7 linked regions of the Macaca fascicularis genome follow. The protein of the gene in region 2 interacts with the protein of the main gene of each other region in a biochemical or structural test. Links are inferred from orthologs where the notes say so. Each region holds a gene or a part of one and is shown on either strand. Other genes may lie near its edges. The genes, in order: USP20, UBC, TRIM32, DHX15, RNF125, PCNA and ASCC3.

The links.
Region 1: the proteins of UBC (region 2) and USP20 are reported together in a solved structure, tested with the Homo sapiens proteins (2 studies listed by BioGRID, with this or other methods). The link is inferred for Macaca fascicularis from reciprocal best matches to the Homo sapiens genes UBC and USP20.
Region 3: the proteins of UBC (region 2) and TRIM32 form a complex in vitro, tested with the Homo sapiens proteins (3 studies listed by BioGRID, with this or other methods). The link is inferred for Macaca fascicularis from reciprocal best matches to the Homo sapiens genes UBC and TRIM32.
Region 4: the proteins of UBC (region 2) and DHX15 form a complex in vitro, tested with the Homo sapiens proteins (2 studies listed by BioGRID). The link is inferred for Macaca fascicularis from reciprocal best matches to the Homo sapiens genes UBC and DHX15.
Region 5: the proteins of UBC (region 2) and RNF125 form a complex in vitro, tested with the Homo sapiens proteins (3 studies listed by BioGRID, with this or other methods). The link is inferred for Macaca fascicularis from reciprocal best matches to the Homo sapiens genes UBC and RNF125.
Region 6: the proteins of UBC (region 2) and PCNA form a complex in vitro, tested with the Homo sapiens proteins (2 studies listed by BioGRID). The link is inferred for Macaca fascicularis from reciprocal best matches to the Homo sapiens genes UBC and PCNA.
Region 7: the proteins of UBC (region 2) and ASCC3 form a complex in vitro, tested with the Homo sapiens proteins (2 studies listed by BioGRID). The link is inferred for Macaca fascicularis from reciprocal best matches to the Homo sapiens genes UBC and ASCC3.

What each region holds. Positions count from the first base shown.
Region 1 is NC_088389.1:14,027,554-14,031,439, forward strand, and holds part of USP20 (ubiquitin carboxyl-terminal hydrolase 20), read right to left. Parts: intron 2,402-3,886; coding exon 2,299-2,401; intron 1,237-2,298; coding exon 1,165-1,236; intron 696-1,164; coding exon 535-695; 3' UTR 1-534.
Region 2 is NC_088385.1:132,077,541-132,081,495, forward strand, and holds UBC (polyubiquitin-C), read right to left. Parts: upstream 2,801-3,955; 5' UTR 2,737-2,800; intron 1,903-2,736; 5' UTR 1,900-1,902; coding exon 298-1,899; 3' UTR 230-297; downstream 1-229.
Region 3 is NC_088389.1:41,394,209-41,398,616, reverse strand, and holds the start of TRIM32 (E3 ubiquitin-protein ligase TRIM32), read left to right. Parts: upstream 1-1,518; 5' UTR 1,519-1,567; exon of another isoform or gene 1,568-1,849; intron 1,850-4,408. UniProt on the Homo sapiens protein: E3 ubiquitin ligase that plays a role in various biological processes including neural stem cell differentiation, innate immunity, inflammatory resonse and autophagy.
Region 4 is NC_088379.1:23,697,809-23,702,166, forward strand, and holds the start of DHX15 (ATP-dependent RNA helicase DHX15), read right to left. Parts: upstream 3,081-4,358; 5' UTR 2,932-3,080; coding exon 2,861-2,931; intron 1-2,860.
Region 5 is NC_088392.1:57,851,898-57,856,286, forward strand, and holds the start of RNF125 (E3 ubiquitin-protein ligase RNF125), read right to left. Parts: upstream 3,064-4,389; 5' UTR 3,025-3,063; coding exon 2,861-3,024; intron 1-2,860. UniProt on the Homo sapiens protein: E3 ubiquitin-protein ligase that mediates ubiquitination and subsequent proteasomal degradation of target proteins, such as RIGI, MAVS/IPS1, IFIH1/MDA5, JAK1 and p53/TP53.
Region 6 is NC_088384.1:82,160,750-82,165,186, reverse strand, and holds the start of PCNA (proliferating cell nuclear antigen), read right to left. Parts: upstream 3,074-4,437; 5' UTR 2,914-3,073; coding exon 2,693-2,913; intron 1,981-2,692; coding exon 1,883-1,980; intron 1,792-1,882; coding exon 1,724-1,791; intron 458-1,723; coding exon 263-457; intron 1-262. UniProt on the Homo sapiens protein: Auxiliary protein of DNA polymerase delta and epsilon, is involved in the control of eukaryotic DNA replication by increasing the polymerase's processibility during elongation of the leading strand.
Region 7 is NC_088378.1:74,695,359-74,699,244, reverse strand, and holds part of ASCC3 (activating signal cointegrator 1 complex subunit 3), read right to left. Parts: intron 2,348-3,886; coding exon 2,205-2,347; intron 1-2,204. UniProt on the Homo sapiens protein: ATPase involved both in DNA repair and rescue of stalled ribosomes. 3'-5' DNA helicase involved in repair of alkylated DNA: promotes DNA unwinding to generate single-stranded substrate needed for ALKBH3, enabling ALKBH3 to process alkylated N3-methylcytosine (3mC) within double-stranded regions.

The sequences.
Region 1 (3,886 bases), on a different chromosome or scaffold from region 2:
TGAAGCAGCAGCTACTCCCTGACTCTGGCCCCAGACGCATCCTCTGCCTGAGGGGGGCAGCATCGGGCTCCAGGAACAAAGCTGGGCCGAGCTAGTAAGAGGACAGTTGTGGGGGACACAATGATGACAGTGACTGGCAGGAGCACTGCCAGGACAAAAACCCAAATTAACGTCACAGAGTCTTGGTCGTTTAAACAAGCCTGAAGTGCACGTTTTCCAGTTGCAGCGTTACTCACTGCGAACCAAACCAACTTTTCTGCCTCTTTACACAGCGGGGTTCTGCAGTGGCCCGGCCTCTCTTCTGGGCACAAACACGCCTTCCGCGGGGTGGGGCACACAGGGCTGTGGGGACACGGGCACTCAGCAGTGGGGCTGGGCACGTCCAGGGCCTCCCTACAGCCTCCAGGAAGGCTCCTTCAGGGACCTGCCCTTTGGATGCTCAAAGGGACACATGAGGGTCTCTGGAGAGGGAGGAGAGGACCCAGAGTGCCGTGGAGGGACCGGCCAGGGCCACTTACAGACTAGCCCAGCAAATCACACTGCCCGGGTCTCGGCTTCGATCTTCTGCTCCCCGTGCAGGCTCTCCGGGCCCGGCGGCTGCACCACACTCTGGCGGATGGCGATCTCGGGGCCGCCTCCGTACAGGCTGTTCAGGTAGTTCCAGGTCTCCTCTGAAATCTGCCCGTAGTCAGCTCCTGCAGGGCACGAGAGGCATCCCTGGGCTCACCTTTGCCGCCTCAAGGAAGCCACTGGCCTGGGCAGTGGGGGCTCCGCAGGGCCAGACCCCAAAGGGGGAGGACGGCAACCAGGGCATCTATGCAAAGCCGTCAGATGGAAACCAGGATTTCCCAGAGGAACGTCCGTCCTGCTAAGGGCCCCGGAGATGTGTTATTTCTGGCTGTGTCCCTCGTTCCTGGGAGTGGCGCTGACATAAACAGCAGGGTGGGCCAGGCCAGCAGCAGGCGGAGGGGTGGGACCTGGGGGACACAAGCAGAGACCAAGCCCCTTGCGCCATCTCTCAGCCGCCTGGGCCTGGACTCGGGTGGACATCTCAGCCTGACTCTAAGACAGGTGGGAAGGGGGCTCCTGGAAGGACGGGGCTGGGCAGCAGCCTGGCAGCCAGGAAGCGCAGAGAGGAGCCTGGCTGACGCTGGGGGAACTCACCCTGCTTCAGCTGGACGTGGCCGCTTCCTTTGACCTGTGCAATCCTGCTGTTGTCAATGGGCCCGGGGGGCTCTGGAACAGACACAGCAGGCTCGGGTTCAGCCCCTGCCACACCCTCCACCCTCCGCAGCAGCAGAGCCATCCCAAGTGAGGCCACCCCAGGCCTGGGGGTCAGCGAGAAGTCTCTAAAGGAGGTGCCTGGGCCACCCAATGCTCCTCTGCGGCAGTCTGAGGACCCAGCAGAGGGAATTTCCAGGATGCACGAGATCGTCTCAGACTCTGTGCTGGCCGCGGGAACTGCGGTGGGCGGCCCATGCCCTCATCTCTGCTGGCAGCTGCCACTCACCACGCCCCTTCCCCTCTGCCCAGCTGTCTCATTTAGCCTCAGCAGCCACAGGACAAGACAGAGGTTTACAGAGACAGAGCCGAGGCCTGGGCAGGTGAAGTAACCACTCAGGTCACAGCTGGTAGAAGGCAAGGCCACCGTCCAGGCCAGGGTGGGGGTTCCGGAGCTACGTTCTCAACCACAGCCACGCTGAAGGCCTCGGCCACCACCAGAGGTGCCTCAGGGTGGCCCTGGCACCTTCCCTGAGCAGCGGGATGGCAGTGGGGCCTTCCTTCCCGAGCACAGGTGGGTGCTTGTGCTCCACACAAAGGGTCCCGTGAGCAGGACCATGGGGTCTGCCCACCCTGCCGGGCCCCAAAGCCACAGGCAACCCATGGCTGGCTCTGCTGTTCCTCACTGGGGGTCTGGGGGGCCCTGGGAGCATCCTTGTGATGGGGCCTGTCTCCATCTCTGTAGATCCAACAAGTTGGATGACAAATCTGTCATTTCGGGCAACACGCTCCCCTGAGGAAAGGGCCTTGCAGGAGGGCAGAGCAGCTTGCTGGGCACGGCAGGGAGTGGAGAAGGGGAGGGGCGCAGAGCAGGAGCGGCTTCCTGCCTCTGGGTGGGGACAGCGATCCCCACTGGGGACTGGCAGAGCCCCATGCTCTCTGTCCACCCTGGATGGGTGGCACCTGGGGGAAGGTACGGGGCCTGCAGGAGCCCCCGTGTGCCGGCCCTCCCCTGCCAGCATCCCATCTCCCAGGAGGCCCCCGGGGCAGGTAAGTGCCAGGCCCCCCTCAGCTCACCGTTGTCCTTCCCCTTGACGAACGCCTCCCACTCCCGGAACCACTGCATGCTGATGCAGTAGATGACGCCCGGCGACTCCTCGGCCTGGAAGGCCTTGTTCAGCTGGGCAGGTGGGCAAGGACGGGAGGGGACAGAGGGCAGGTCAGCCTCTATTTACCTTCAGCAAGGATTTCCCAAATGCCCCCGCCCCAGGCCCTCACCCAAGAGTCTTACAAAAACACCAGATGCTCAAGGTGAAAAATCAGAACCCCCAGACAAGCTCAAACAAAATGAACACACCCATCGCTCAGAGAGGACAGTGGCAACATTTTGTGGGTCTCTTCAATAACTGTTTGACCCAACTGAGACCACAAGGGAGATGCTACTTTTTGAGAGGGAGTCTCACTCTGTCACCCAGGCTGGAGTGCAATGGCACGATCTCGGCTCACTGTAACCTCTGCCTCCCAGGTTCAAGCGATTCTCCCACCTCAGCCTCTTTTGAGTAGCTAGGACTACAGGTGCGCGCCACCACCTGGCTACTTTTGTATTTTTAGTAGAGATGGGGTTTCACTACGTTGGCCAGGCTGGTCTTGAACTCCTGACCTCAGGTGATCCGCCCACATCGGCCTCTCAAAAGTGCTGGGATTACAGGCATGAACCACTGCACCTGGCCTGGCAGATGCTAATTTTCCCCGGTTGAATAGAATGTGCCTATCTGCTCAGAGAGGCAGCTCTCCTTCTGACAGGAGCATTTTCTTTTTCTTTTTTCTTTTCTTTTTTGAGATGGGGGGGGTCTCACTCTGTGCCCAGGCGGGAGTGCAGCGGCGCAATCATGGTTCACTGCAGCCTTGACCTCCTGGGCTCAAGTGATCCTCCCACCTCAGCCTCCTGAGTAGGTTGGACCACAAGTGCACACCACTATGCCCAGCCCTGACAGTATCTTTTTTGTTTTTGTTTTGAGACAGGGTCTCTATTGCCCAGGCTGGGGTGCAGTGGCACGATCACAGCTCACTGCAGCTTCAACCTCCCAGGCTTAGGTGATCCTCCCACCTCACTCAGCCCTCCAGGTAGCGGGGACTACAGGTACACACCACCGTGCCCAGGTTATTTTTGTATTTTTGGTAGAGATGGGGTTTCGCCATGTTGGCCAGGTTGGTCTTGAACTCCTGGGCTCAAGTGATCCACCTGCCTCGGCCTCCCAAAGTGCTGGGATCACAGGCATAAGCCACTGTGCCCAGGCAGCAGAATCACTTCCTAATGGCCACAAAGCACGGGCGTCCCTCAGTGTCTCTCGCCGGGCCTTCCCTGTGAGTGGAGCGCGTCCTAACCCTGTTAGAAGTAGTGTGGCAGGGAGGGAGTGTGCCAGGAGCCTCACCTGCACTCAGCTCTTTCACAGAAGTCTGAATGACTGGAGGTCATTTTGGTTGTCACTAGCACTAGTGAGTAGAGGCCAAGGATGCTGCTAAACATCCTACAATGCATAGGATGGCCCCACAGTAAAGAATGATTCAGCCCAAAATAACACAGCCAAGGCTGAGAACGGGATCCATCTACTGGTTCTTTAAGCTCAACAGCACCCGGGCGACGAGCCTTCACTTACTCAAGCCA
Region 2 (3,955 bases):
ACACCTGCCTTTTTGTATTTGCAGTAGACATAGGGTTTCACCACATTGGCCAATCTGGTCTTGAAGCCGGCTTTTATTTGCACCCACCTTCTACAGTTCGTACTATATTAAGGTCAACCCCTTCACTGACATTTCACTGTTACCACAGCAACATTTGTAAACTGAAAACCTTGATCCCCTTCACCCAGTCTAATGCAAAATAACCTTAACTTTTAAAAAACCACACCAGTTGGGAATGCAACAACTTTATTGAAAGAAAAGTGCAATGAAATTTGTTGAAACCTTAAAAGGGGAAACTTAGACACCCCCCCTCAAGCGCAGGACCAAGTGCAGAGTGGACTCTTTCTGGATGTTGTAGTCAGACAGGGTGCGTCCATCTTCCAGCTGTTTCCCAGCAAAGATCAACCTCTGCTGGTCAGGAGGGATGCCTTCCTTGTCCTGGATCTTTGCCTTGACATTCTCAATGGTGTCGCTGGGCTCCACCTCAAGGGTGATGGTCTTGCCAGTGAGGGTCTTCACGAAGATCTGCATCCCACCTCTGAGGCGGAGCACCAGGTGCAGGGTGGACTCTTTCTGGATGTTGTAGTCAGACAGGGTGCGCCCATCTTCCAGCTGTTTCCCAGCAAAGATCAACCTCTGCTGGTCAGGAGGGATGCCTTCCTTGTCCTGGATCTTTGCCTTGACATTCTCAATGGTGTCGCTGGGCTCCACCTCAAGGGTGATGGTCTTGCCAGTGAGGGTCTTCACGAAGATCTGCATCCCACCTCTGAGGCGGAGCACCAGGTGCAGGGTGGACTCTTTCTGGATGTTGTAGTCAGACAGGGTGCGCCCATCTTCCAGCTGTTTCCCAGCAAAGATCAACCTCTGCTGGTCAGGAGGGATGCCTTCCTTATCCTGGATCTTTGCCTTGACATTCTCAATGGTGTCGCTGGGCTCCACCTCGAGGGTGATGGTCTTGCCAGTCAGGGTCTTCACGAATATCTGCATCCCACCTCTGAGACGGAGCACGAGGTGCAGGGTGGACTCTTTCTGGATGTTGTAGTCAGACAGGGTGCGCCCATCTTCCAGCTGCTTTCCAGCAAAGATCAACCTCTGCTGGTCAGGAGGGATGCCCTCCTTGTCCTGGATCTTTGCCTTGACATTTTCAATAGTGTCACTGGGCTCCACCTCAAGGGTGATGGTCTTGCCAGTCAGGGTCTTCACGAAGATCTGCATCCCACCTCTGAGACGGAGCACCAGGTGCAGGGTGGACTCTTTCTGGATGTTGTAGTCAGACAGGGTGCGCCCATCTTCCAGCTGTTTCCCAGCAAAGATCAACCTCTGCTGGTCAGGAGGGATGCCTTCCTTGTCCTGGATCTTTGCCTTGACATTCTCGATGGTGTCACTGGGCTCCACCTCGAGGGTGATGGTCTTGCCAGTGAGGGTCTTCACGAAGATCTGCATCCCACCTCTGAGGCGGAGCACCAGGTGCAGGGTAGACTCTTTCTGGATGTTGTAGTCAGACAGGGTGCGTCCATCTTCCAGCTGTTTCCCGGCAAAGATCAACCTCTGCTGGTCAGGAGGGATGCCTTCCTTGTCTTGGATCTTTGCTTTGACGTTCTCGATGGTGTCACTGGGCTCGACCTCGAGGGTGATGGTCTTGCCAGTCAGGGTCTTCACGAAGATCTGCATCCCACCTCTGAGGCGGAGCACGAGGTGCAGGGTGGACTCTTTCTGGATGTTGTAGTCAGACAGGGTGCGCCCATCTTCCAGCTGCTTTCCGGCAAAGATCAGCCTCTGCTGGTCGGGAGGAATGCCTTCCTTATCTTGGATCTTTGCCTTGACATTCTCAATGGTGTCACTGGGCTCAACCTCAAGGGTGATGGTCTTGCCAGTCAGGGTCTTCACGAAGATCTGCATTGTCTAACAAAAGAGCCAAAAACCACCAGCATTTAGCAGACAATGTACTAATCTTCCTAATACTTAAACTATATGTTATATTCACCCAAATGATTACAATTTAAAAGATACCTAAGAAACTTCACAAAATACACTCGCCAACCCCGAACGCATAGTTTAAAACTCAGACTTCAGCTACTTAAGAAAATAGGAACATAGAACTGACCAAAGAAACTGACGCCTCACTTATCCCTCCCCTCACCAGAGGTCAGGCCCCTGTCGACTCAGGAGGGCCTACCCTAGGCCCCAACCCTGCGTCCTGCGACGAAGAAAAGCCTACTGCACACCTACCGGCAGGTGGCCCCACCCCACATTATGAGCCAACAGAACGGATGACGTCACGACACTGCGAGGGCGCGCGCTCCTCAAGCTACGGGTGCACTGCCAAGTGGCACCGCCATTAACTGCCGCCCCCGCAACAGACGACAAAGCGAGTTCTCCGGTCAGTGACAGACTTCACATCAAGGTCCCCAAATGGTGCCCCAGCCCACCTCACCAGAATAAGAGCGTTCCCGCATTAGCGAAAACCTCAAGGCCTTGGGTTCTTGCCGCAAACCATGCCCCCCACCTTGTTTCAACAACCTCACAGCCCGCCTCACAACCGTCTTCCATTCAAGAGCCGGGAACAGCCGCCATTTTGCTGCGCTCCCCTCCCACCCGCTGCTCGGGGCACCTTGCTCGCGGACCCAGACTACAGCCCTCGGCGGCCTCTCATCCCGCGGCGTCGGCCCCCCTCCATCCCACCGAGCGGCCCAGCGGCCACGAAAGCCATGGCCGGCCCAGCAGCCCTCTGCTCACCAAGTGGCGATGACACCGACACACAAACAAGAACTGCGATCCCACTCCCGGCTGCGACGGAACTAGCTGCGCCACACCCGGCGCGTCCTTATATAGTCATCGGCGTTCACCGCCCCAAGGAAATTCCTCCGCAGAATCGCCGAGAAGGGACTACTTTTGCTCGCCCGTTCCGGTCTCTGGAAAGAAAACCAGTGCCCTACAGTCACCCAAGTCCCGTCCCAAAATGTCCTCCTGCTGAGACTGGGGTTCTGGGACTGAGTCTGGTGGGCAGCGGGCCGCCGTCCTGAGCGCCCAAGCGGAAGAATCAGGGCGCTCGCTGCGCCCTGCGGCCATGACGTGGAGGCGCTCGCCGAGAGGAGGGGGCGTCCGCGGGAGGCGCCAAAACCCGGTGCGGACTCTGCGGCGCCAGGAGCGGGTGGGCAGCCCGCGTTCCTCAGCCGCGGCCCCTCCCCTCAGCCCCCGCGGTCCCCTCGGGTCGCGAACCCCGCGTTCGGCGGACGTGGGGCGCGGACGGAGCGCCTCCCGCAGAGTCGGGGTCTCCCTCCCCTCCCTCGCGACCCGCCCTGGCCCACCCCGCGAGACGGACGGGTCTTTATTTTTGGGTCACATTTGAGATAATGACGGGGCTTTCTTTGCTCAGCCCCCCTCAGTCTTCCTGAGCTTCCCAGCCCGGTCGCGGGGGCTCCCCGGTGCCGCGCCCCTCCCCCGCTGCGGGCCGCGGGACAAGGACAATGACTCAGCAGATCTCAGGCCGGGCGCGGCCCTAAAGCTGGGGAACGCTCGAGAACTTTCGAGGGGAGACACTGCAGAGGAGCTGGTGTCCAGGTTAAATTTGGAAAAGTGAGGGGGAAACCCCACACAGTTTTTTTTTTTTAGCTGGAACCCAAGGCTGAGGGAACGACATCCTTCTAGACTGTTCTTTCACCTTCGTGTACATTCTGAGGGCCGGGTATGGAAAGGTCCTACTTGGTTTCAACAGGGAGGCCTAGAAATTTCTCTGGTTTCAATGGGTACGATTATTGTAATCAGGATCCATTCAATAATCGGACCCATTTAAACCGAAGGTTTTAAAAGACAGGAATAGAATCCCAGCCCTATTTCAGGGCAGGGTAGGGTGTCAAATATGAAATGTAATTCTACAGGGCAATTCTATTTTGATAAAAGAAGTGGGGAGAAAAGAATCACCAGCCAGGTTTTTAAATTTTTACCACAACCTATT
Region 3 (4,408 bases), on a different chromosome or scaffold from region 2:
AACACTTGCTTGAGTTAGATCCCCAGGAGTATTTTTAATACTCCTGTGTAATTAGGGAAACATCATTATGTCTGTATTGATAAATATACATACATATATAAGATGTATATGTGTAAGACTATGAACAGTCCTAAATTTATACTTTGGGCTGATAACTCTGGTTTTCAGGGAAAAAAAAAAAAAAACAAGTGCAAAGTCTCCCTAACTAGTCTAAGTGAGAAATCATTTGGCACCACCTCTCCCTTATCCCCTACCTGCTAATTGCAATTTTTCAAATATAGTTATCATTAAGTACAAACTACCATAATCTTGGTTTATCTTCTTGGCAAACTTCACTTAGAAATTTAGAAAATGGGGAGAAAGAGTAAACAAGGTTAAGAGTGGGTTCTCAGATAGAATTGGGTACAAATCTGGGCGCCAATACTTAGGCACAGGTGGCCTTGTTAGGTGTAGGTTAACCATCAGCTGCCTTATCTCATGAGGTCCTTATGAGGATTTAGTGAGCTATGCACCTGAAGTCCTTAGCTGTAGCCAGACAGCAAGTGTTCAAAGATGTTAGTCATTGTTTTTGGTTACTGTTTTATCATTGTGCAGGGTCACATAGCTAAGGGGAATTTCAAATCCAAGACCATCCTACTTCAAACTCCTTTGTGCTCCTAAGCTGTACAGTATAATCACCTTGGAGAATAGGTGATTGGCCCCAAACTACTTCGGGGAGTGCAGGTCGTGGCTAGTCAGTCCTGTATCAGACCTCGTCCTTGCCAGATGCCTAGTGCCCTAGATTCCCTCAAATCTCAGGCCAGGTCACCTCCCAACTGGTAAGACTCCTCCACCTTCACCTCTGACTCCCCAAAACTACACTTGGTTTGGATTCCCGGGTACCTTCAGCCTGCAGGGACAGGGGCTGCAGCGTGTACTCCCCATGTCTGCCTCTGCTGTCGGCCTCCCAGCTGAGTAGGCAAAACGTTCCTTTACAGAGCAATGTGTTCATGGATAAACTTGTCTCTAGTGCAGCGCTCTATCAGAGCACAGGACATGGGGCCAAAGCACTGCCCTTCCTAGGGAGTCCCGGTTCTCGACCTCCCCAGAATGGAAGTTTGATTCTTCCGTTGGCCCATTTCTCAGATGGAAAAACAGATTCAGCAAGGTGCCAACGCTTTGTTGAGGACTACCCTGGAGGCTACAGTTTTGTGAAAGGGTAGACATTTGGACTGGAGTCAGATACGCATTCTGGCTTATCTCCTGACTTACTGAGTGAACTTGAGCAGGTCTCTTTCGCCCATGGGTCTCGGTTTCTTCATCTGCACAAAGGCGACGGAACACTGGATTACGTGTCGCTAAGGCCCCGGGTTCTCAGAGGAAAGCTCACCCCTGCAGGGCCGCCTGGCCCCGCGCGCTGGGGCCCGCTGCACTACAAGCCCCAGCATGCCTCGGGAGGCGGGGCTCAGTGACGGACAGGGAGCTCTGCGAATTGGCGCCCGGCAAAGGGCGCTCAACGGCGCGTGCGCAGAGGACGGCGGGCGGGTGGGCTGGCGGCGGTGGACTCGTCGGAGCTGCGGGCGGTCAGGTAGGGGGCGGGAAGGAGGGCTGGGGACTAGGGACCGCGGCCGAAGTCGTGGGCCGTGGCTCAGCGGCCGGTCGGGGGAACGTGCCGGCGTGCAGCGGCCGCGCCCGAATGGCAGGGTCTGGGGACCGGATCTGAGGGGCAGGACTAGGGTGGGGGTGGGGCTGCCAGGGGCAGGCTCGGGAGGGATTCGTGGGGCTGAGGAGATCCGCGGAGATGGAGCTGGGGGAGGGGAGCGAGGGGCTCTGAAGAGATATGCGGTGGCAGCATCTCGGGAGGTATGAGGTAATGTGGGGGCCCTGAGGAGGAACGGGGTGCAGCATGTGGGAGATGGGAAGGAATCAGGGCCCTGGAGGGACCTGGGTGCAGAATTTCAGAAATATGAAGGAACTGGGGGGCCCCGATGAGATTTGAGGGAATCTGGGGGCGCTAGGCATCTGGCAAGGATAGGGTGTAAGATGATAGGAGCAAGGTCTAGGGCGATTCTAAGTGCTATTGAGAAAGGGCTTTCGGAGTGGGCTGAGGGTGAGATAGAGGGGGTGGGGTGAGTTCTTGGGGGACTCTTGTTAGCAGGAAGAAGGGAGCTGGCTGAGTTGTGAAGGCAGCACATGACATTCAGTGCATAAGAGGAAGGAGCAGGGTTTGAGGGCGGCACAGTGCCTGATGGAATGCAGGAGATGGGGGTTCAGATTGAGGGAGAGCAGAAATCTGAAGTGAGGAATTAGGGCGTTGAACTGAGGTGCGGAGCTGAGTGCGGCAAAGATTTGGAAATAGGGATTAAAGGATCTGTGTCCGAGGGATTTGAGGCATATGAGTGAGGAATTGATGAGGGTTGCGTTATACAGCCCCAAAGATTGGAATTTGGTATTGTAAGAGGGTTGAGGACAGGGTTTGGAGAGGATTGAATCGTGGGGTGGAGATGTCCTAACTGGGCTATAGAATCAAAGGACACTGAGTAGATATGTGGATTGGTGTCTTGGGCTGCTAAAGAGATTTTCCTTAAATCGCTGCATGGGAGACGGGGGGAGTTTAGGGGACCCAAGGACCTAAAAGTAATGTATGAAACTCTGGATGAGTATATGAAGATGAGCAGAGTTCAGGTGTTCAGGAACAAAGTGATAAATCTTCAGTTCAGATATCCTGAAGGAGTGTGGTAATCCCTGTGAAGGGTAGAATCTTCTTCATTTATTAAACAAAGATCCGTTATCATAAGGCAGGTATGGTATTGCCACTAACTACACTCTGACCACCGCCTTCTCCCTCCCCCTCCCCCGGTCCACTGAAAGTGGTAGGCTTTGGGGAAGAAGAAATGGAACTATTCAAGGTCATCTGCCTAAGCCCTTTTTCCTTGTACTCCCAAGCTACCATAGCAGATAGAATGTGAGACCTCCAGGGGAATGAGTGGAATAATTTATCCTATATAAGATCCATTGCAGCTTGAAGGGGCAGTGGCTCTGTGAGTGAGATGTTTGGGCTCGGAGAGGGACAAAAAAAACAAAAAAATCAAACAACAACAAAAAAAGGGAACCCTTATGTATTGAGCATTTAGTCCTGTGCTAGACTGTAAAGCAGTGGTTCTTAATCAGGGGTGGCTTTGTCTCCTAGGAGACATTAGGCAATGTCTGGAGATGTTTTTTGGTTGTCACACTTAGGGTGGGGGATACTACTGGCCTCAAGTGGGTAGATTAAACATTAAATATAATGTTTTATGTTAATGTTAAACATTTGACAATGCATGGGATAAGCCCCTCCCCCCCAGTAAGGAATTATCCTGCCTAAAATGTCAGTAATGCCAAAGTTGAGGCACTCTGCCCTAGAATCAGATACCCTGGGTTCAAGTCCTAGCTCTATCTCTTCCTGACTTTGTGGCCTTGAATGAGTTACTTACCACCCAGTGCCTTGGCTGTTCATCTGTAAAATGGGGTTATGATAACAGGACCTATGTCACAGAATTGTTGTGAGGATTTAGTGAAGTAAATTAGCATGCCTAGGATCTGGCACATAGTAAGTTCTCAAAGTCTAGTAATTTTTAGTCTTGTATCTACTTCTTTACTCAGTTTTCATGACAGTCCTTCTAAGGACTGTATTCAGTTTTACACATGAGGAAACTAAGGCTTAGGAAGTGACTTGCCTAAGTTTTCATAGCTAGGAATGACACAGTTAAGCTCATACCCAGATCTCTGTAACTCTGTATTTTCCCACTTTCCTTGCTAGGACCCGCTTAGTCTTATTTTCTCAGCCCATTCCCCTCTAATGAAAACGAGGATTGCCCAGTGAGAATCACTGACTATCAGATTGAACTCTAAAGTTGGGGGATAAATCTCTCTGACTAGATTGGGAGGAGCCCTGGACTTTGTTCTTGGTTTGTTCTTAGACCAAGACCAGGGGCTAGATAAGGAGAGGAGCTTGAAGTTATCAGGCAGGATGAGGTGCAGCGGACTATGGGGTGAGGTATGGAGGCTGTTGGCTTGAAAAAAAAACCTCACAGCAGGGACTGAGGCTGAAGGCACAGCAGGGACTGAGGCTGAAGGCAGTCATACTTTGAAGGAGAGTAACTACTGTTGTGTATGGTCTCTTTTGGACTGCTTTTCCCTGGAACAGAATAGTAGCATTGGCTCTATCATTTCCAGGACTAGCTACAGCATTGCTGAAGCCAGTTCAGAAACAAAACTTGACTGTATCTGACAGCAAGACTTAGCTGGAATATCCATGCACATCCCTAAAAGAAAATATGTCATGGGAATTCAATCAGTCCTGTCTAAACTCCTTACTCTTTCTAATTTCCCATGTTACCTTGGACAAGCACTTGTCCTGTCAGCTTCAATCTATTAAAAATGCAAATGA
Region 4 (4,358 bases), on a different chromosome or scaffold from region 2:
TTAAGTCAATACGCAGAGATCTTAAAAAATGTTCACTAAAACATGTTCTCCAAAGACGGAGATGAAGATTTTAGGGAATGCCTTTTTTAAACCTTTGAGTATAAACATTTCCTATGTTCCCGTGGTAAGTTCATTTAACCTCATCTACCATACAGGATTGTAGTGAAAATGTGTGTGCTCTACAAATGTTATCACAGTATTAACATATTAGCATTACTTTCCCATAAGTAACAGGAAAAAGTCTTATCAGGTGGTAATATCAAAAACCAACATCAAAATGAAAAACGTCCCTAACATGGAAAACTTTTTTCCATACTTCAACAGTAAGTTGTCTCTTGGTAATAACTGTATAGTGAAGACTCTGTGGGTTGACAAAAAGAAGAAATGAGGCCAGAATACGCAACAGAAACCTATAATAACTTCACCTGATTTCAAAGTTAAAATATGTCAAGAATAAAATAAAGACTTATATAGTTGGGAACATTAATGTAAGTGAAATCTCCCACTGAATTACCTTCTCTTCTCAGTATTGGAGACATCCTATCTGGCAGTGGAGTTTGTAAGACTGACAAGCTTATGCTCTCAGATAAAACCACTTGCTGACTATCAGGGTAAAAAAAAAAATCTGCAGGATTGCATGGCAGTCAACAAGTGACTTAAAATTATGGAGTATGAAAAAAAATCCTGATGCTGATAAACACTGTAAGTCCACTGTTAAATAAAGCCAGTTCTATGATAAATGGCACTCAAATGACATAGAAATTAGTATTAAAACTTCCCTCTACAATTTCTTATAACTTGAGCATTATTCCAAAGATGAACTCGCCTTTATCCACAGGCAAATTCTAAATAATATACAAGGGAATCATAAAGCTACCATTTGACCCCGAAAGTCGACATGTTTACTAAGGGTATCTGTTTTTGCAAGAGATAGTAAACAATTGCACATACATATGGTGGGACCACTAATCCCAAGGGAAGCATTTTAAATGGTGCACATATGCACAAATACAAATGAATTCATTCATTCCCTCCCAGAATATTTTGTTCCAATCTGACCTCCTGTTAGAGACATCAGTTCCAGATGACAGCAATTTATTTTTGCTTCAGAGAAATCAAGAACTAAGTGTTCCCTACTTTACCAACCCATTATAAATGTCATTAAAATAGGCTGTAATGAGTCTTAACTACAGTACTGAACTGTGTGCTGCTGAGTGAAAATGATAAAGGCAGGGTTCCAGATCCTGCTGTAAACTTGCCCAAGCCACCTTAACTGTTCTCCATTTCTCATTCCTTGAGTGGAGCTGTAGAGTCTTTTTTAAGTTGCTCCCAGCTCTGAGAGTCTGTGACATACAGCTCAGAGGCATTTAACGTTTTGTGGGGGGTAACGGTGGGGGACAGTGATAGCCTAAAGAGAGTCTGTCTTACAGTGTCATTGTCTTTTTACAATGCCTAATATCGCCAACTAAACAACTCACAAAACTGTACATGCTTTTGCTTTGTATTGAATAATTCAACATATGGGAAGGTCTCAAAGTACATCCTATCCTGGCTTATACTCTACAATGACACTAAACATATCCCTAGAAATCAATTTCAATGAAGAACTTCAGCTGAAAATTTCAAAAAAGCTAGACAAGGGGACTTGACACAGTGATTCCGTATCACAAGTACACAATAAAATGATAAAATTATGCAAAGTATTTGGATATTCGGGCTTTTGTGGGTTTTGCCTGAATTATCCAAATAGGTCTTTGTACTTCAGCAATGAAAACACACACGGGAAAGAAACAGATTTTCATAAAACTGCTTAAGTTAACTGTTAAATTCCTCTGTATCTTTAAGGAAAGGAATCTGGAACACCATGAGTTTGTGTAAGTATTTCAACTCTCAACCTCCACATGGGCGGTGTTTCGCCATCAATACTAAAAACACGTTTTGAACATGATCCCTGTATTTCAAAAGCTACTTATGAAGAAAAGTGGGACATGCACAGAAAATAAATGATGAAAAAAAAAAAAAAAGAATGCCTTCTAATCCCTCCCCATGGGATGATGTTCGGTAACCACTTTTAACCAAAGCAGGAAATAGAGGAGATGGCGGGAGCGTAGGCAGAGGGCGGAAGTTTGCTAGTATCTACTTTAAAGTGTTTGAATGGACCGAGACACGCTCTCTCCCGCCAAACTATAAACTCAGTCGCCCCAAAACACCAGCCTTCCAGCCCACCAGGTATTTTACTCCACCCTTCCTTTCTCCCGGCAAGTCCTCTACTCCACTTCCCCAGAGAACTCCCCATTTGCTGGCTTCTCTCAACTCCCGCCACCCCCACCCCAGCCTACATTAGGATCCACGCGCTGCTCTCACTTTCCGCCCTCCGCCTTTCCCGTCTGGAGTGCCTGGCCGCGCCCCCACTCAGGCCCTCCCCATGGCCCCTCTGCCTGGGAAGTGCCTGGTGCCCTTGGAAGCGAATACTCCCGCCGCGCCCTCCCCCACTCTCTCCCCCGGATCCAGGCCTTCCTCGGGAACCGAGGCCACGAGGTCCGCGGTTCACTCCCGCCCCACGCCCTCGAAAGTGACTCCTGCTCGGTTCGGCCTGGGGGAGGAGGCGCCCTCATGGCCACTGCAGGCCTCTCCACCCTCCGGACTGGGTTGGGCACCGGCCCCGCCGCACGCAACTCCCCGCGCCCTTGCCGGGCCGAACGGGCGCCGCGCTTCTCCGACCCGCCGCTGGTGAACCCAGCCCAGAAGGAAACAAAGGCTCGGGCTCCAGGACCCGCTCGGCCAGGCCAGTCCCAGCCCGCTCCCTGCCAGGACCCCAACAAAGCCCGAGCTGCTGCCTCGCGCCCCCGGCCTGGCTTACCCATCGGTCCCCGCACGCTTCTTGCCAGAGGGGTAATCCTCCCCTAGGTCCAACCGGTGCCGCTTGGACATCCTCGCACTCTTCGAACGGGCGGTTATTAAGGAAGAAAGCTAGCCGCTGTATGGGCACAGTGGAGGACAGCCACTTAACTCTGGAGGACCCCCACCCCTCCCGCTACTACAGCCCACACGGTGCGGCCGGAACCAGGAGCTAAAATGGCGGCGGCGACGAGGGCTGGGCCTGCGCGCGCGCGCGCTTCCGCAGCGTGCGTGCGTGCGAGTGTGCGTGTGAGCGAGGTGCGCGCGCACGCCGCCCAAAGGCGGGAACTCCTGTCCCGCCCGCTGCCTCATTGGTCCGACCTTTCTTGCGTCTCCTCCCTCTTCCCGTAGCTTTCCCCTCCTAGGAGCGGCTGTTAGGAAAAGCCTGAAGGCCTTCACTTTCCATTTCAGTCTATCCTTGCCCCTCTGAGTCGAGAAATTGAGGAAGTCTAGTCCTAGTTAGGAAATCCTATTCATCTCTATTACCCCGGCTTTAAGGGAATCTCAGACCCAGAGAGGTTGAGAAACGAAGATCGTACAACTAATAAGTGGCAGAGCCGGGATTGGAACCCAGCTATTTAGTAACTCCAGATCTGGAACTTGAGGCCACCCCGCTACTCTCAGTTGCAGTGAGGGACCGCGCGCGGTGGTTCACGCCTGTAATCCCAACACTTTGGGAGATCGAGGCAGGCGGATCACGAGGTCAGGAGTTCGAGACCAGCCTGGCCAACATAGTGAAACCCCGTCTCTACTAAAAATACAAAAATGAGCCGGGCGTGGTGGCGCACGCCTGTAATCCGAGCTACTCGGTAGGCTGAGGCAGGAGAATCGCTTGAACCTGGGAGGCAGAGATTGCGATGAGATCACGCCAGTGCACTCCAGCCTAGGCGACAGAACAAGACTCCGACTTGGGAAAAAAAAAAAAAATCAATTGCAGTGAGGAAACTAAAGTGAGAAAATCTTAAGGCTTGTCATGATCTAGTTTGCCCTTTTCTTGCCCAGCACAGACACCCATGCACTCAAGCTATAGATGTTTTTAGCTAGAATACAGAGAATTCGCAGTGAGGGCACAATTTGCTTTTATGTTTGTTTTTTTGTTTTTCTTTCTGTGCCTATTAATGCACTTTCACAGTGTTAAATAACACCCTGCAAGGTAGTTGTTATTTTGTAGACGTGGACGCAAAGGCTGCGGAAGGTTAAATCTCACGGCCATAAGGGCTGTACCTAAAGCCGTAACAAGGAGGTGGGGCAAGATGACTCTAAGGAATTTTGTAGATCTCTCCCCCTAGAATATCTCTGCTTCCTCAGTTGCATTCGTTCCCAGAAGAAATGCACAAGAAAAGATCTGTGGACTATCTGCAGCAGGGTGATCTCTGTTGTTCATGGAATGACTTGGTTTGGCTGCCGTGGAAGATCATACTCTGGTTCTTATCAAAGTCTCGGGACTGCAATTGCTAGGA
Region 5 (4,389 bases), on a different chromosome or scaffold from region 2:
TTGTAGGCCTTTCCTCCCCTGTTAATCTATTAGCAGTTTGTTTCATAGACTCAAGTGATCAAACCTTTAGGGGAAAAAAATCAAATTCAAATTTCCCTACAGTGGTCACACAGCTTGCTAGTGGCAGAGGGGAATTTCAAATCCAGCTTTCTATAAGGGCCAGTTACTACTGCATCACAATACAACTTATAAAGTGCTCTGTACATATTCAGTCAAGGTACTGCTGTTACTATTAAACTTGTTTGACTTGAAAATCAGCATAAACCACCTAGTTCAATATGTCTGAAACTGTAGCTTCAATATGGGATAATAAAATACAGAAGGTTCATTTGCATTTATTCATTTTCCAACTTAATTTCAATGGAAAAGAGTAATTCATTTAGAATGTACAAATGGCATTAACAACGCTCATAATCTCTACAGCAGAAAAGACTCTGGTTAACATTTATAAAGTGGAAGGGGCCCAAGTAAGTTTGCCAAAAGGAGGAATATGGAAATTCTGCCCACAGCTAGAACAATGGACATAGATTTGTCAAAACAAAGAACAGTAAAGAGAGGAAAGGCAATTTGTTCAGCCCTTGTAATGCTATTTTATGGTTATTTTTCCAGTTGCTAGTTTCCTATTCACTTTAACAAAGAAAAAGATTAAACAAAAAATTGAACATTTTGCAAACTTACATTATCCTTTAGTAGAAGGAAAAATATTGTAAATGGTAAGTTATACTATTCAAAGTCCAAAACAGGAAAACAATCTCCAGTCAGATAATTGAATTAGCAGCAAAGCGGTCTATTCCAAAAAGAATCTTCAAAATGCCCACTGTTTATGTTTTGCACAACTTCAAAGTTTTAAGGCTAATAATGATTCAATTTCAATGGAGGTATCTTTAGGCTGTTATTGCCCTAAAATAATCAATATATTTTATGACTCACACAGCCCATCTTGGCTTCCAGATTGGCCTGTGGATATTACGTTAATGAGCTACATCTGGACAGCTGAGCAACATTAGTAATCAGAAAGGAGGGTAAATTTAAGCCTCGAGTTTTAAGAACAAAGCTGAAACAACAGGCCTCGAAAATACAGCTACGAAATAATGCCCAAAGCACTCTTTATTTATACATTGTGCAGGCTGCACACTTTTTTCCCTGGCTCACAGGTTGGGCAGTGGTGAAAACTGCTTTTCAGATACAAGGCTATAGGTATTAAGGATCACCTAAGGATTCCAGGTGTGAGCCACCATGCCCGGCCTCAAAACTTCTGAATGCAAGTGCACAACATGTTTTTAAGGACTACCTAAATCCTTTCAAAAGTGATCCTCAGAAGCAATAATGCTATTTCTTTCTTCCTGCTAAGCCAAATGCATTTCTTTCTTCCTGCTAAGCCAAATACAAGTACATGCCACTGTGGTATCACACAGGGCTTCATCATACTATAGTCACCCTTCAAAGGACATTAAGTAGGCTTCCGCTTCTGATCCGTGCAGACACACACACACACACACATCCACGAACAAAATTCAAACCAAAGAGAGAAGGCTGGGTGCAGTGTCTCACACCTTTAATCCCAACACTTTGGGAGGCCGAGGTGGGTGGATCAATTGAGGTCAGGAGTTCAAGACCAGCCTGGCCAACATGGTGAAACCCCATCTCTACTCAAAATTCAAAAACTAGTAGGGTGTGGTCGTGGGCGCCTGTAATCCCAGCAACTCGGGAGGCTGAGGCAGGAGGATCACTTGAGGCGGGGAGACAGAGGTTGCAGTGGGTGGAGGTTGCAGTAAGCCGAGATCCTGCCACCGCCACCGCACTCCAGCCTGGGCGACAGAGTCAGACTATCTCTCTCTCTCTCTCTCTCTCTCATACACACACACACACACACACACACACACACAAAGTAAACAGCACGAATTCACAGATCCAACTTCACCAGTTACTCAAGCACACATTAAGCATGTGCCAATTTTATATAGGAACTTTGTTTTTAAACTCTTCTTAGAAACGACCACGGCTTTGCACCAACTGTGAGTTTTAGCTAAGTACTATGCCGTTTTGAGAAAGTTATTTTACTCTGTAATTTCTGCCGGTTTGGAGAGACGGCGTGTAAAGCAGGTAGTCTGTCACCTCCTGTCACGTTGTGGCTGGGTTTTGGAGGAGTACATTCAGGGGCTTGCGGCTAACGTCCAAGCCCCACCCTAGCAGGTTGTTAAACTCTAACGACTTGTGGAAAGTCACTCGGAAGCTCCAGTTTGACTTGCTCTTTGAGGGGATGGGTGTCTGTGTTGGGAAAGGGTAGCAGGGGTGGGGGTGGAAAAAACACTTTGCACAGATCCTTGTTTGCTTAAGACGAGCCTCTGTGGGCATTCTGGGAACACGTGCACAGCTCCAGCAAAACAAAACGGACCCGAGTTTCTGGGGCAGAGGGAAGCGCAGCCTGTTCCACCGTGTTCAGCGGGGTACCTGCGCTTTGAGGGAGCCCCTGCCTTGCAGTTGGAGCTCGTTTCTTTTTCGTGCCCGGGCGAGCGCTCGTTCTCCAGCCAAGAGCACCCTCCCCTGTTGGCGAGCCCTGGCTCTGGGCGGGACCCGTGCCTGGATCCCCTTCTCTGGAGCTCCGCACCTGGACTTCGGGAGGAGGCAGCGCAAGGGGGCTGCAGGGCCCGATTGTTTCTTTTTTCTCCTCCCGAAATCCTGTGTCACCTTCCGACCGGCGTTTTCCCCGTGGCCCCGCACCCGACGGGTCCAGGTTTCTCTCTGCAGCAGTTTCCTAAGGCGCTGTCTTCCGTCCCCCTCCTTCCCCACACCATGCCCTCAGCTTCCCGACATCGCCCTCCTTAGGGGTGGGCCCAAACCGAGCTCCCCTGGCACTTACACGTGGCCACAGCGGGTCCGGACAGGCTGGTGTAACACCTCAAGGCACACGGCGCAATCGAAGGACGTGACGGGCAACTCCGGGTCCCCCCTGCGCTCCAGGGCCCGCGGGGTGGCAGAGGGGGGAGCCGATTTGCCGCTGTCGCTGCTCAGCACGGAGCCCATCGCTGTGCCTCTCGCCCAGACAGCTGCCAAGCACTCAGTGCCTGCTGCAGGGTTGTTTTGTTGTCGTGCGGTGGAGGAAGGAAGTCCCGGCCCAGCTGCGATCGCCGCCTCCCAGCGCGCGCAGCTCGCGCAGCCAAGAAGCAACCTCCGCCGATGCGCCCAACCCTGGTCTAGGGCAGGGCGAGTGCGCGGCCGCGGGGCTGAAATCTTCGGCAAACCGCCTAGGTTAAGGCGCGGAGGCGGAGGCGGCAGCCGCCAGGTGCTTTGTCTTGTGGTATTGGGAGGATTGAAACCTGAAACCTCAACTGCAGAGAAGAGGACTTGAGGCAGTAGTAAACCTTCCAAGCTGTCACACACAGCCTCTTTCCCCACTGTCAGAAGTTAAGTGCGGGCGTGGCCATGCTTAATGGTAATCAGAGAACAGCCGCTTGTAAGGACCATCCTCCACTGTTGTAATCACAATAAGCTGCATTGAACTATGACCTATGATTGGACGTCTCCTAAGACGGTGCTATCATTACTCTGTCGTCCAATCAATAGTCCATTAATGGAGAGAGAGCCTGGGTAGTGGAAAGAGTTCTGGAGATTCAGATTCCAATCCTACCTCTCTTACAGATATTCTAGTGCTAAACCCTGCCGTCTCCAGTTTCCTCTGCGGCTCAGGATTTCCTCTGTTGTTTGTACTCTCCCCATCCCGCCCTTTAAATGTGATCAGCCGGGCGCGGTGGCTCACGCCTGTAATTCCAACACTTTGGGTAGGCCGAGGCAGGTGGATCGCTTGAGGTCAGGAGTTCGAGACCAGCCTGGCCAACATGATGAAACCCCGTCTCTGCTAACAATGCAAAAATTAGCCGGGCGTTAATTCACACTTTTTTCGAAGACTTATTTCGTGCCCACTGCACGCCAGACTCAGTTCTGGTGATGGAGACACAACTGTCAACAAGCAAACAAAATCCCAGTTCTCACAGAACTTACTTTAAAAAACAAAAACAAGGCTGGGCGCGGTGGCTCACGCCTGTAATCCCAGCACTTTGGGAGGCCGAGGCGGGCGGATCACAAGGTCAGGAGATCGAGACCACGGTGAAACCCCGTCTCTACTAAAAATACAAAAAATTAGCCGGGCGCGGTTGTGGGCGCCTGTAGTCCCAGCTCCTCGGGAGGCTGAGGCAGGAGAATGGCGTGAACCCGGGAGGCGGAGCTTGCAGTGAGCCGAGATCGCGCCACTGCACTCCAGCCTGGGCGACAGAGCGAGACTCCGTCTCAAAAAAAAACAAAAAACAAAAAACAAAACAAAACAAAAAAACAAAAAAACAAAAACAAAACTTTACTTTGAGGTAATTATAGATTTGCATACAGTTGTAAGAA
Region 6 (4,437 bases), on a different chromosome or scaffold from region 2:
ATCCTACCCTTAAGAGCCTGTGTGGGCTTGATCCATAAACCATTGTTCTGTGGTATGTACACGTGCTGAATTTGTATTCCCTTCTTGCAAATATAATTCTAAATTGGATGACACTTACAAATCAGTTGCAGATTTCAACAGTATCTCAATTTTCAGAAATTACTTGGGATCCAATTCTGTCTACTTTTAATTTTAGCAATTAACCTAATAAGCAGTATTACAATTCTCTTCAAACTATTTTTTTTACTTAAAAACTACTTACAGCTTCCTCCTCTTTATCGACATTACTTGTCTGTGACAATTTAATGTTTCCATTTCCAAGTTCTCCACTTGCAGAAAATTTCACGCCGTCTTTTGCACAGGAAATTACAACAGCATCTCCAATATGGCTGAGATCTCGGCATATACGTGCAAATTCACCAGAAGGCATCTTTACTACACAGCTGTACTCTTGTTCCTATTAAGAACAAAAATTTTCCAAAAGTTAATTGTTAGAAATTTAATGATTTGGCACCCTCACTTTCTTAAAAGGCAACATCTAAACAACTCAGAATCAAGATTTTCTGATTACTGACTCGTGTAATTTCTTAACAAACTCCACTCAAAAAAAATAAATGGCTATTAAATGCACTGCCCAGGGAACAAGCGCCTCCTCCTCCTCATCCTCCAGGGATAAAGTAAGAGAACATTAGAGTATGCCACAGAAATGATGACGGCGCAAGCAGGTCTAACTATTTTCTAAAAGAAAACGAGAGAATATGATATTAGGCATTTTCAACATTCCAACATTTCTTCTCTCCTTTGGTGTTTATAAACCTAACCTGGATACATTTCTTCTAAGATAGCTTTCAAACCCACTTAATAAAAACCAAGCATCGGGCCGGGCGCGGTGGCTCAAGCCTGTAATCCCAGCACTTTGGAAGGCCGAGACAGGCGGATCACAAGGTCAGGAGATCGAGACCATCCTGGCTAACCTGGTGAAACCCCGTCTCTACTAAAAAATACAAAAAAAAAAAAAAAAAAAAAAACTAGCCGGGCGAGGTGGTGGGCGCCTGTAGTCCCAGCTACTCGGGAAGCTGAGGCAGGAGAATGGCGTAAACCTGGGTGGCGGAGCTTGCAGTGAGCTGAGATCTGGCCACAGCACTCCAGCCTGGGCGACAGAGCGATACTCCGCCTCAAAAACAAAACAAAACAAAACAAAACCAACCATCCTAGAAGGAAGCAAATTTTAAAAGAGGTTCATGGAAATTAATGCAAATAGACAACTGGCAGTAAACAATAAATTTAACCAGTGAGTTTTAGACTTGTGGTAAACAACTATCCAAATACTAAAATCTCTTTAAAACATGCACCAGTAGATATGTTTCTAGAAAAAGTTCTGTTATGAAGTAGGCTTAAATTATATTAACTTATCTTGACGGAGGAGGATCATTGAGGCCAGGAGTTCCAGACCAGCCTGGGCAAGACTGCCCCCACACCCACACACAAAAATAAAAAAATTAGCCAGGCGTGGTGGGACAGATCTGTAGTCCTTCCTAGCCACTTAGGAGACTAAGTGGATTGCTTGAGCCCAGGAGTCCCAGGTTACAGTGAGCTATATGGCACCACTGCACTCCAGCCTGGGGAAAAGAGGAAGACCCTGTCTGTAAAAATAAACAACATTCTATGACATAACTATCATGCCTGTGTACAGCAGTCGCTACAATCAGAAACTGATACTCACTGGAATTCCAAGTTGTTCAACATCCAAATCCATCAACTTCATTTCATAGTCTGAAACTTTCTCCTGGTCTACCAAAAAAAAGCAAATGCTGTTGAGAAACACTGGCACAGAGTTTCGATCTTCTGTAGCTTCATAACTCAGTAAAAAGGTACGACTTACTGGGTGCTTCAAATACTAGCGCCAAGGTATCCGCATTATCTTCAGCCCTTAGTGTAATGATATCTTCATTGCCGGCGCATTTTAGTATTTTGGACATACTAGAAGACAGGAGACACATGGTTTAAAATCAACACCATCTACTGAAGGTCTGTATTTCTAATGCAGTTAGAAGGGGTTACCACTCTCACCCATAGGCCGTCTCAGAACTGGTGGAGGGTAATTGCACTGCTGGAGGATGCGAATATTAATGCAGACATTTTGGGATGCATCTGGCAGTATTTATACTAAAATACCACCAGCAGTTTCCCTTCTGGATAGAAACAATCTCCTGCCACTAAGTAGGATGACAGGCTGACACTTTTCTCGCAAGGGCACATTATAAAGCATTTAAAGTCAATCGCGACTGAGCCGGGAGGATCGCCTGAGCCCAGAAGTTGGAGACCAGCCCGGGCCAACACATCGAGACCGTCTCGGAAACAAAAAAGCCACAACTAAAGCGTCCATTCAAGGCCAACAGGATTTAGTGAGCAAAAGCTCTGGAGCAGTGTTCCTGGCACTGCAGAAAAACCAGTCATTTTCCCGCCACCACCCGCTTTGTGACTTTGGCGCGAAAAAGCAGGTTCGCGCAGCAGCCAGCGCGGGCTTTTCCGAACCGCGCGCTCAGCTGGGCCCCACCCCCCTGCATGGCAGGCCAATGAGAAGGTGCGGATGGTCCACGCCAGCCAATGAGGGCTCGGCTCGGAAGCGATCCCGCCAAACCCCGGAGGTGGGGGTGGGCCGGGGCCGGTTTCTCGGCGCCGCGAGGCTCACCTGGTGAGGTTCACGCCCATAGCCAGGTTGCGGTCGCAGCGGTAGGTGTCGAAGCCCTCAGACCGCAGGGTGAGCTGCACCAAGGAGACGTGGGACGAGTCCATGCTCTGCAGATTTACGCCGCTGGAGCTAATATCCCAGCAGGCCTCGTTGATGAGGTCCTTGAGGGCCTCCAACACCTTCTTCAGGATGGAGCCCTGGACCAGGCGCGCCTCGAACATGGTGGCGGAGTGGCAGCAACGCGGCTACAGGCAGGCGGGAAGGAGGAAAGTCTAGCCGGTTTCCGCTTCAGGAGCCTCAGAGCGAGCGGGCGAACGTCGTGACGAGAAGCTGAGACCTAGAAACAGAACTACCAGTCTGCTACGCCTGCAACCGTTTAATGCCGCCGCGTCCGCCAGCGCGCGCTCTTACCCTGCGCCGCGTTGCGACGTCACCACGCTGCCCGGCCCACAGCCTGGGCGGGTTAGAATTTAGGGCCAATCGTGCCGATGCTCCCCGCGAGGCCCGCCCCCTAGGACATACATTGGAGGAAGCGGGTGCAGGGCGGGGCAGCGTCCCGCAGGTCTCCCCGCCTCTTCGCCTGACTCCTGAACCTGACCACTGAACAAGTCCGGGCATATGTGGGGATCCGGCCCAGGCCCCGGTTCGTCAAGCCCCAGCTTTATGGTGCCTCCTCAGCCTCCAGCTCCGTGGGTAGAAAGTTTCCAGCCACGAAAGTGAAAGTGAAAAGCAAATCCAGCCTACCGGGAGGAAAAGCCTCCTTGTAGCCTGAAGAGTACAGCTGCTGCAAATATGCACTTTATTTTTCAATTACAGAAGTGATGCGCTCCTAAGTGTCACACCATAAAGAGTTATGTTAAACTTAGCTCCCTCTCACCTCTTAACATTCCACTGCCAGCTCTTATAATCACTCAATCGTTCCTTGTATAAAGCTTTTAAAGCTTTTTTGAAAGTTCGAATACACTTTTTTTTTTCAAAATGCACTCATTCCGTAAACACTTCGAAAAAGTACTTAATAAAGTACATTTAATTTTATGCCACGTACATCTTTTTTATATCAGTACCTCTTTAAAAGATAGCATCACATGTATGTAACTTATCAATCTCCTGTTAATTACAAACACCTTTGAGCACTTAGGCAATTTTGGTGCTATCAACTCCTTGAAGTAATACAGCTGAGTCAAAGAGCGTACACATTTAATTTTTTTTCTTTTCTTTTCTTTCTTTCTTTTTTTTTGAGATGGAGTCCTGCTCTGTCATTCAGGCTGGAGTGCAGTGGCGCGATCTCGGCTCACTGCAACCTCCGCCTCCCAGGTTCAAATGATTCTCCTGCCTCAGCCTCCCAAGTAGCTGGGATTACAGGCGCCTACCACCGCGCCCGACTAATTTTTTTTTTTTTTTTTTTTTTTTTTTTTTTAGTAGAGACGGGGTTTCACCATGTTGGCCAGGCTGGTCTCAAACTCCCGACCTCAGGTGATCACCCGCCTCAGCCTCCCAAAGTGCTGGGATTACAGGCATGTGCCACCATGCCCGGCTAAATTTTTGATAAATGTTACTAAATCTCTAAAAGTTTGCAATTTACATTCTAGCCAAGACTGTGTATGAACATGCTCATTTATCTTTATTTTCCTAACTACAGATATTAGCAATCTCATTTTTTAATCATTGCTCATCTGTGTCAAAAATTCAATTTTTTTTTTTTTGAGACGGAGTCTTGCTCTGTTGCCCCGGCTGGACTGCAGTGG
Region 7 (3,886 bases), on a different chromosome or scaffold from region 2:
AGTTTCTACCTAGCCTTCTTGATAGTTTTCTGCTGATCAAAAAAAAAAAAAAATGAAACAGAGAAGTAATTCTATACAATGTCTGAGCTATCTACAATTCTTTAGGTCTCATACATTAAAATAAAATAAAAAAAAGAAACACAGTGGATGTACTATACCTGATATTAGCACATGAGGTTCACATTTGAAGTTAATGTGAGTCACATATGTGCTAAATGCACAATGTCTATATACTTTAAGCAAACATCCCAAAGTGTGTTTAGTAGGTTTGTACATTGTATCTTGACTTCAAAGAAAAGTGTCCATTTGGAAGACTTTTAGGATAACATATAAAATAAAATTAAGCCTAGAGAGATACTGCATATAAACAGAGTCATCAATATTTTGTACATCTATTTTTCATCATTTGTCTTCTAAGTTATGACACTGCCTTAGACACAATAGGATGATTATTCAGATATCAATTAAACAATACAGGATAAAAAAATCTTTTAACAACATTATTTTGAACATAAATTAGTTTCTTAAATATCTGGTATATCCATACAAGTAACATTAAGTAAATAAAGATAAATTTAAAAGATAAAATGATCGCTATTACTCTACTTCAAGCAGTCATTTGATAGTCCGCATATTAAGCTAATTTATGAGTCTGTTAGTGAATAAGGTCATCTTGGAACTAAGCAAAACCATTCTGAAATATCAGTTAACCATTACACAATAATGTAAGATATAGAGTACTATCCAACGGTCCTACTAACTCTAAATGAGTCATGAGAAGTAGAAGGGGAGAAATATGCAAACTGTTAATCCTGGACACCAGTGGGTTTGGAACATTGTTTTTTACTGATGCTGAAGAGCACTGCTCTTCTTTAGCCTGCATGAGATCACAAAGTGGGAACACGGAAGAGGGTAGGTGGCGAGATCACAACTCAACAATTATGCTACTGATTTCATCTGTTTTCTTTGTAACTCCATTTAGGAAAATATTTTTCAAAACTGGAAAAGTGTAAGAAAGAACAATCACTATATATTAAATCTATAGAAAGGAGGAGGAATATCTATATTTAGATGTCGTATAAAGAATCACAAAGGACCATACTAACAAACTGGATTACATAAAATGCAAAGTCTTCTATTCGTAAAAAGACACCATGATAAGAAGACAAGCAATAAACTAGCAAAGTTACCTAATACAGCAGGCAAAAGATTAATATGTATATATGTATAGAAATACATATATACGGAGAAAAGTAATATATAAAATTTTACATACGTATATATTTTTCTAAATTTGGCAAATCTCTCACACAAATCTACAAAATAAGTGCTGTACTGGAATAGATGAAAGACCAAAGAAATGAAGAGGCAACAAGGAAAAAAGAAGACAACTAGTAAATACATGAAAAAAAAAGTTCAACCATACAAAAATCAAGGCATACATTAAGATAATATTTTATCTATAATATATCAATAAGTTGCAACAAATGAGGATGCAGTAAAACTGTTATTCTCATATACTTCTGATAACTCATACATCAGTGGTGATGACGCCAATAAGTACAGTTCTTTTGGAAAGTAATTAGCAGTGTACCTGAAAAAGCTGTAAAAATATTCACATCATTTGACCCACTAATTCTATTTTTAGAACTCTATACTGAGAATATAATTTTAAACAGAGAAAAATCTACAATAATAAAGATGAATGATTATTAACTTACAGGACAAAACCACTATGAGATAGTTGCATAATGGAATATAACTGCATAGACACAAAAATTATAATTTAAAATTTTACTGGTGGTTATTACTTAGGGAAACGATAAAGCAGTTTTTAAATTTTTATATGTTAGTGCTTCCTAAAATTAAAAAAAGATTATTATATATTTTTAAAAACCCCACCTTTGCAAAATTGATTTTAACTTCAGTGAGGGCAGTGAATACTAAAAGAATATGAAAATGGTTGAATGTTACAACATACATAGGTGATAATGTTAAAGGAAAAAGATATAAATACAAATATACAAAATAAATATTAAGTGGGACTATACTAGAACAAACTATATCAGAATATTAATAGTGTGGTAAGGTGGCGGTATTAAGGATTTATTCTTTCCCTATAATATAATTACATACATAATGTTCATTCTAATACAATATAACCTGAAACGTATAAGTAGTAGAAGATAAAAGATGGTGCTTACCTCTCTTTCATCCATGTTTAACCACTGCTTTGGATCTTCTTCAGTAGCCAGGAAGGCGATCAATTCCAAAGCAGTAAGACGAGTTTGACGTCTTGATGAGACAAATATCAAAACAGGTTTGGCGGGAGAGTGGCTTCTAATTGCTGTTGAAAAGTTGTGGGAAATAAAATGGAAAGCTACTTAACCCCAGAATATGAATTTCAGTAGGATATCAAATGGATTCATGAAAACTAATGATGGAAACAATTTAGGCATGAAATCTGGCATTATTGCAGGTACTACACGGATCTGGCAGCATATTAGACAGATTAATAGGAAAAGAAAAGTTGATGGCCCTACCTAGAGAGTATATTGCCTCAGAAAAGATTTAATTATGCTGGGTCCAAGTTCTATTCTGAGCTGCCAAGGAAGGAGAAACTTAAAGATTGAGACTCTCCATTAAGAGCTATACATAGACACTGAATCTTAGATTGAGTTTTCTGTGCTAAGTTGTGTTTCTTAGCTATTTGTATTGCCTAAGCAGTGATATTACAGAGTTAACTGGTCCTGGGGTCTGGTGAGAAAACCAAGTCCTGCCAGGTGATGGAAAATGTCTAAAAAGACCACAAAAAGTACCTTTTATTTTTATCAGTGATAGAAAAATTAGTAGAGTTTGTACCAGTAAACAGGTTAAGAGATAAATCAGAAGAAAGTTTTCCCTCTGTTTTTCTAAAAGCATATGTGTGAGAAGGGCAGACAACAGAATGTAGAAGGGGGCTGAAGAGAATACTATGCCTGAATGAGTATCTGAGTAATGGGACATGGTAGTCAACACAAAGAAGATGAGATGACTCTGGTCAACACAAACCAGAGTGACAAGACTGAAGGCAATTTTGTACAACAAATCTTTAAAAATAATTAAAGAGCCACATAAATCACTTGGCTTATATTGAAATGAGGTTTTTTTTGTTGTTGTTGTTGCTTTACATAGGCTCCAAAAAGCTGATAAGATGCCATGAGTAGAATATATATTTATGTCTACACAACTCTCTTAAAACAGTCAGAGACATGTAAAAATTTTATATAAAAAGTTCAACTGCTTTGTAATTTCTTGTTTGAAATGTGAGCTGCAGAATTTCTTTTTATGGGCTGGGAAACAAGGTTTATAATGGAAATGTTGACATGACCTTGACTTTATTTACATTCTAACTATGAGAAATAAAGCTATTACACAATCATATTTCTAAACTCAAAGAAATATAGTAATCACTACAGGTATAATAAATAGTACATAAGTATAGCTGCTGTGCAGATACCATATCTACGGAAGTGTAAGTATTTTAGTTATTTACTATTGATTTATACAACACAAACGCTTCCTTTCCATCAACGGTATACAGTCATTCCATATAGATATATGCAATTTCAACAATATATATTATGAAAAATAAACATTTATCTTATTTCTCATTATTTTTATTATTTATCAGAATGTTATCCAAGGTAAATGATAAAGTTTGATAAATCATATTAGAGATACACCATTTAAAATACACATATTAGTACAATATTGGTATCATTTGGACACATAAATATAAATGGATCTCTGTCTTTCTTTAGGCCTCAACATTTAATGGATTTTTGCTGCTGAAAGAACAGGTGTGGCTGAACAGCTCATGGCAGATTTATTGTTCATTAGTGAT